2 linked regions of the Tribolium castaneum genome follow. The main gene of each other region encodes a partner of the protein of the gene in region 2 in a complex. Links are inferred from orthologs where the notes say so. Each region holds a gene or a part of one and is shown on either strand. Other genes may lie near its edges. The genes, in order: protein-L-histidine N-pros-methyltransferase and Catsup.

Region 1 (3,830 bases), on a different chromosome or scaffold from region 2:
TAGGCGAAGCTCTCAAGAGTAAACATTGCGAAATTGTTGAAATAGAGGAGTTTCCTCGGTCCAACAGAAGCCACTTTCCCCTAAATGATTTAATTACGCTAAACTTAATTAGTACTACCGGATCTTTTCTGCCCTATTGTTTAATTGACAGAGCTGCCAACTCACGAACCCACAATTAAAATCATTAATTCACTACCATGGCAATGGAATTAAGGTTCAATTTCCGAATAAATTTCACCCATACAAAAACCAGCCTAATTATCACTAATTTACTTTTAAACCCAATCCATATTAAGTAAATATTAATTAAACTTTTTGTCTCTCTATCATTTTCTCCGGTGAAAAGCTCGAACAAGAGAGCTCCATTTGTTATGCTCGGCCGTCTCGTTCCGTAAAATTCGAACACAATTAAACGATGAAAACGTCTTTTTTCTCATGATTTTACCCGAATGAGTAAACATGTGTAAGATCATCGCGGCCGCCTCGACCGGAAAAAATCCTTTTAATCGTTCCGAAGCAAAAAACCCGGAGAGTACATACATAATAAAAGCGCGCTTTTGAAGAATGTCAGACACAATGCGATGTTTTGTTAATTTTTCTAATTGGTGATTTCCCAGCCCTAATGACGGGCCCATCGGACATATGGTTATAATTGCGGCCCATGCCTGAGGTAATGTGCTTATGATTGCAAGGTAAAAAGCGTACAAAACACATCTTCCTGTTTTTAAATTGTCATTCTTTAATAATTTTATAATGACGACGACGTGTGTGTGACCTGCGCTTTATTAACGCTTCCACTCACCGAGCAGCTCAAATTAAACCAAAATTTCAGGTTAAATTTTAATTAAATAAGTCTTTGTCCCAGGAAATTGAAATTCTTAGGTTTTCTGAACTTTTACGTTAGAACCACATTTTTTAAAATTATTTAGTATTTTCAATACTGTAGATCGATAACACCATTGTTCTTTAATATTCTTGTCTAGGTGCACCGCATGTGAGGAAGTTGTTTTAAAAGTGGCACAATTTTTAAACTAAAACTGAAGAAAATTTCCAAAATCAGGGTTGCTAGCTAAATATTTTTTTTAGTCAAAATTGTTATTTTAACAATTATTTTTGACTTTAACTTATTTTTTGGTCAAAGTTCAGGCGGCAAAGAGCTAATGTTCGATGAAGACAACATTTCCAAAGTTCACAAAATTTTATTAGTTCGTTATTTTTTTAAATGCATGTGTTACATCACAGAACTCAGAAAAAATACTATTTTTAAAAATATTGCATGTGACCCTTCTTGCTATTAAAAAAATTAAGCTAGCCTTGTATCACCAGAACAAATGAAGATAGAAATTTGATAATCAAGAGCACTGGCTTTAGATACAAGACACTGTATCCTGATGTATTCGTTAATAAACGCTTTCGAAGAACAAAATTGCATACAAAAGCCATAAACATAAAGATTTTGAAAACGTGAGCATAATTTTTTAACAAAACTTCTAGTTTTCCACAAAAAAAGAAAAAAATTGTGTCTATGAAGTGAGATAACGTGCGTCCAATTTTCTCACAAAAATTTTGACTGGGTAGTTTCTGTTAAATCAAAAAACAGATTTTCGAGATTACTTATTTGAAAATATATTGAAATATTTTTGATTTCATAATAATATTGAAATATTTTTGTTTTGATAATAATATGTTTAAATATTTTTAGCCATTGGTGAGGAGGGGATTTTTGAATGATTTTTTTAATTGTGCGTGTCCCGCATGGTTCTGCTTTCGTCCCCTCGCTTAGCGTCTCTTCGAGTCATTTGTTTTACCGCTGCGTAAAACAAGTGAATAAAAAGCAGTCCATACATAATTCACTTTATGGCAATTCGAGGTGTGCGCATACAATTTTTTCCATTTCGGTTGGTGTCGGCGCTCTTTTTCGCCGTTTATGTTCTAACAAGTGATAGTCCAGTGTCCGCGAATTAGCATTAATGCAATTCTCGCTGAACAATTCCGACAGCCCTTTGTGTAGGTTAGTTATGGCGGTCGGTAAGATTAATGCGACGAATTAATTCAGGATCTCGCCGTCTGGCAGTCCTGTCTTCTTCTCATTAAACATGGCGAAGCTGCGTCGAAATAGTTACCCGACAAAAAAAGTGCCCATGCATAATTCTATAAGTACCGCGGATTATTAAGCTGCTTCTCTTTTTTAAAAGAGCCGTCGCCGTGTTAAAAATCGCACAAATAAAAGCGCGGAATTCTCTCCCGAGACCGAGGCGGGAAAAAAAGCGCCGATTAATTCGACCAAAGAATTGCAATTTTAATTAAGTATTTCAACCGAATTGCAACCGACACAAAGGAACCAACGTCAAAACGAAAAAATAGCACGAAACACAATTTTTCGATAGAGTTTTATCAATTTTCGGTACAAGTTTTTTCAGACTTTATTTTAATTAACCTGTCAGGATTCATGCGAGGAAGTTTGACAACGCATTTCGTGCAGATTGCTTCGTGTCTTGGATTAAACCAGCGCAAAGACATCTCACGAGAAAGGACTAAGTGTGGCAGTTAAAAATAATTTGCTTTTCTATAATAGGGAATACCATTGAATCAGTATTCTCTCCATCGAAATTTTTTATTACGCAATAGTGTCACAAAAGTCAGGAAAAATTTAAAAAAAGCTCTTGAATTTAAGTAGCATTTTTCCTTGATCTTTGTTGTTTTCTTCTTCGGATTTGCTGGGCTTCCTTAGTCACTTCTTTGCCCAGCAAAGCGCAACAAAAGTGATAATTAAAAATTCAATCCGAGCGAATAAAAATGCGCGACATCTCCATTAATTCTTGCAAAAATGTCTCTCGTTCGACCATCTCGAGATAATTACAAAGATTAAAATCGTTAATCAGTCGTCTTCTCGGAAATCTGTTAATTAAACAACAAAGCAAAAGGAATTCGTTCTAATTCTCTCGATAAAAAACTTTTGTTATAATCTCTCGTATATCTAAACTCGGCAGCTGTGACAAGGGCCGCCGCCGCCGCCCGATTTTGTACTCTGTGTTGTATCAATTTATCACGAATTTAAGTTCGCGCAAAAAATTAATTTCCCCTTTTCCCTCTAACATCTGGTCAATTTTTCATAATTACACTTTTTCGACACTGTGACGATAATTATCGACTAGAATTTTTTCCTTCGAGGGACCTAATGACTGTCGACCGCACAACAAAAAAACCTAATTATATAATTAGTTATGCTCAGAATGACAGTCAGGTAAAAGTTAGACAAGCCTTCTATTATAGTTGTTAATGAACAAACATTTTTCAATGGAAGGTTTTTTTACTCGAAAGCTATTGTGTCAAGTAATTAAATTAAGACTCACCCATTGATGGATGTCTGAGTCATGAACCAGCCCAGGAAGGCTTTGACGACCGAGTGCCAAATTTGAGTCAGAATCCAGTCGGATTTTTCTTCAGATTGTTGAAGAAATTTGATGGTTTCGTCGTCTGGTCCCAACTCGATGAATTTCGATGACAGGTCAAGAGGGATTTTTGATAAGTCGCAGTGGTACCACTGAAAGCGAAAAATTTGCAACAGTTAGGAAGATTTATGGATGATGGGTGCTTGAAGATATAAATTTCTGAATTGTCGGGTATTAGAGGTCATAATGTCGATACCCCAAGATCCTGTGCGATGAACCGTGGAGGATTTAGTACGTGATTGTCTGATAGTACTATAATTACAACCATTTCAAAATTCGCTCTAAAATGTCTCAAAACGCACAGACAATGAATTGGAATAATTGAAGAGTCGTGCAGCAATGTTTTAAGAAAATAAGTTTTAATTACCGAACGGTGCG
Region 2 (3,484 bases):
TGACCCTGAAAAGGGCCGTCTTGTGCACGCAAAGGGAGCAGTATGAGAAGGCCGAGCAGATGCTACATTTGGCCCTACGGCTGGCCCAACAGCAGCAAAACCAGCAAGGGGTCATCTACTGCTACGACTTGATGGCAAATTTGGCTCTGGACACCTTTCAGTTGGATAAAGCCGAGAAATTATTTGTCAGTGTCTTGCAGCTGTTACTTGGGGGCGGTTTGGACCAAAAAGACTTGAAGGTCATTCATATTAGTTTAAAACTGGCGCGAATTTCGCAGTTGAAGGCGGAAATTGAAAAAGCCGACCTTGGGTACAAGTGGTGTCTTGAACAAATAGAGACACAGAAAAATGACAGTGTTGACGCTCAAATGCTATATGGGGTTATTCAGGACTGGTATTCCCAGTTTTTGCTAGACGTTGGGGACGTTAAGCAGGCTTTAATCCATTTGAGAGAGGCTTACAATGCGTGTAAAAGAACCAAAGGGAGGAATAGCGAACAAAGCATGTTGCTTTTGAATGACTTAGGGACTACCAGTTTTCGCGCTGGTGATATTGATAATGCTCAGGGGTACTTAAAGGAGGCTATTACAGTGGGGCGCGAGGTCGAAGACAAGTCGCACTTGGGGGTAATCCACGCAAACTTAGGTTTAATTCTTTTAGAAAAAGGCGTAGCTAAGGAGGCAGAAAAGTATTGTAAGGAGGCGTGGAAGTTGGGTAAATATCGACAAGGTTGCCGACTCCTATCTCGTGATTTTTTTTCAGGGAAAAAATTCGAAAACAACGAATCAGTTGAACAAGCAAACTACTGTTTTGACCAAATTAAATTGGTTTTAGGAAAATAATATTTATTGTAAAGGCGTACTCTAAGTACAAAGGAAACAATAAAACCGTTACATATTTAGGTATTCATTCATACTCTGCGATCAAAACCATCATAAACACTCCCCCTAACAGGGCAGCCACTTGGAAAACAGTCTGTTTAAAACTGGGTTTCTCTTCATCTAACAATTCAGGAATCACAGACACCAACGCTATGTAAATAAAGCCCCCGGCCGTGAAGGGGAGGATCCACTGGGTGGCCATGAGGCTGTTTTGCGCCAGAAGCGAAATCGCAGTCCCCAACAGCGCCCCCAGAGCAGTAGTCAATTGCAACAACATCGCATTTTTCCTCGACACCCCCGACTGGAGCAGAATGGCAAAGTCCCCAATTTCATGCGGGACCTCATGTAGTAAAATCGTGATCGTTGTAACCAACCCTACGGTATTCCCCGCCAAATAACTCGACCCTATTGCCAAACCATCGGTGAAATTGTGACTAAAATCGGCGGCTAAATTCAAATAACCCGCCACTTTAATTTCCTTTGGCTCGACTTTCTTTGCCTTGTCGCCCCCCGACTTGGCTTTCTCCTTCTTCTCATCGTTCTTCTTGTGGTGGCTGTGCCCGTGGCCCCCTTTGGCAATCCTCACGATTTTCTCCACCAAGAGGAACGTGACGATACCAGCCAACACCCACAGCCCCACTGACATGTCGTGCCCGTGTTCGTGATCGTGGGAATGTGAGTGCGAATGGGGGCTGTCGACTGACATAGCCGCGTGCGGGATTAAATGCAAGAAGGCGTCGCCCAGCAGCCCCCCGGACGCGAACGCCAGTAGGACTTTCAGGAGAGGCTGTTCCCGGTCGGTGCTGTCAAGCGGCACGCAAAATAGGATGAAGAAGGGGGCTGCACTGATGAGGAGCGTCGACCCCATGGCTTGCAGCCATAGTTCGGAGGTAGTAGTGTGATGTTGAGGTTCGGGGGGTTGGTACTTTTCGTTAGCGGCTTTCGAGTACTTGAATGAGGGGGCTTCATCATGTGAGTGGCCGTGCTCGTGCCCCCATGAGAAACAAACGACGAGCAGAATTAAAACTAACCGTAAATTCGACATTGCGGAATGTGGAGACTTAAATACGTGATTTGGGACTGAATGTGGGTATTAACACTTGAATTAACCGGCGGGGGCACACATCATCATCAAAAAAACATATTTTCTGTCAAAATGTCACTGCTGTCAAAGAATTGTCAAAGCATGTCAAAGGAAAAGTCAGTAGTAAGGCGCCAGAGGACGCTCCATGATTTTTATTTTACCAGTTTATTTTAATTTAATTTAATTATCACTATAATTACTTATAAATGATTGATTTACTTAATGCTAAGGTCAAGTTGTAGCTTCAAGTACTTTCTTTATGCGACCAATCATAAACTTAAGTTTAAGTCTGGTTTAAGCTATAAATTTCAATAGGCAACCACCAATACAGATTGTTATCAATTTTAAAAAAAATCGTACCAAGAAACTTACAAAATCGAATTATGTCATCATCCTCAACTATGATGATATGAAATATGATAAGGATTAATACATTTTGGATACAGTAATCAAAATCCATCAAAAACTGATAAGAACCGACAAGTAGCACAACTTAAAAATGTTTGATAGCAAACAAATTACTGAGTTTTTTCTCTTCTGTAATGACATCATACAGACAATCGGTGATAACAAAAGATCGATACAAAATAGCAAAATTAAAATTACGTTAAGTCAGGTAAGGAGGAATATGGACATACAAATATAATTAAAAAAAAAAGATAAGAACATCAAGTGGAACATTAAACCGTTTGATGGCAATCAAACGAAAAAATCAGCCAAGAGTAGGGTACTCAATAAATTAACGATTTTTCTCGTGTCCAGATAAATAAATGACTAATTTAAAGTACCGACCCAAAATTACAAAATAAAAAATAATAAGATCAAAGGGGATTTTTTCGTCACAATTGGTAAATTCCAGCAAACACAATAAAACAAACTATTTTTCCTAGATAACTGCATTCCTTGATTTCTACATATTGATAATAAAATGACGACAACCGGATAAAGCGAAATTGTTATTATAATTTTATCTCAGGTGTATCATCATTTTAGGATGTTGAAGCTCATAAAAAAAACACTTTTGTGGTCGAAATCGAGTTCAAAGTCAACGAAGAACGAAAACAAACAAACGTATCAAAATCGTGCCATTTACGCATTTTTGTGGCACGTTCAGAGTGACTCATTTGTGACCTAGGACATTACGTTCAATTCAAGGCGACGCTGTTTTTACCTTATAATTTTTCCAATGTAAGAAAAATTAAATATTTCATTGTGTCGTCTAATTGATCGTTTACAAGTGTTTTATTAATTATTGCTTCAAGCGGCAATAAAATGGTGCAAATTGCAATTTTATAATATAAGACCCGAAATCTTATCTTAAACAATGAGTACGTCGTGATAAGAAAACGATACCTACAGTCAGATATTTCCAACTCAAACACGCACGAAGGCTGCAATTGCGTGTTTGTTATTCAAGTTTGCCGAGCGTGTAATAAACGAGTGGAGTGAACAAATTTTAACAAAAAAATCGAAATTATTTATTGCGCCCTTTCGCAATGACACTGAAAAACAATAACTA

What was found.
Region 1: the proteins of Catsup (region 2) and protein-L-histidine N-pros-methyltransferase are in contact, whole or in part, in a crystal structure (PDB 8GZE), measured with the Homo sapiens proteins. The link is inferred for Tribolium castaneum from reciprocal best matches to the Homo sapiens genes SLC39A7 and METTL9. Residues at the interface, in NP_001070984.1 of Homo sapiens: Gly65, His66, Thr67, His68, Glu69; in NP_057109.3 of Homo sapiens: Arg114, Thr115, Asn118, Arg123, Gly124, Met126, Met179, Asn210, Asp213, Arg214, Val241, His245, Tyr247, Glu249, Trp255, Tyr295, Leu296, Cys297, Glu298, Asp300, Tyr306, Val307, Leu308.

What each region holds. Positions count from the first base shown.
Region 1 is NC_087394.1:24,614,893-24,618,722, reverse strand, and holds part of protein-L-histidine N-pros-methyltransferase, read right to left. Parts: intron 3,545-3,830; coding exon 3,354-3,544; intron 1-3,353. UniProt on the Homo sapiens protein: Protein-histidine N-methyltransferase that specifically catalyzes 1-methylhistidine (pros-methylhistidine) methylation of target proteins.
Region 2 is NC_087398.1:6,546,196-6,549,679, reverse strand, and holds Catsup (protein catecholamines up), read right to left. Parts: upstream 2,065-3,484; 5' UTR 1,927-2,064; coding exon 907-1,926; 3' UTR 843-906; downstream 1-842. Other genes in the region: Ttc19 (tetratricopeptide repeat protein 19 homolog, mitochondrial), read left to right, coding at 1-714, 763-842. UniProt on the Homo sapiens protein: Transports Zn(2+) from the endoplasmic reticulum (ER)/Golgi apparatus to the cytosol, playing an essential role in the regulation of cytosolic zinc levels.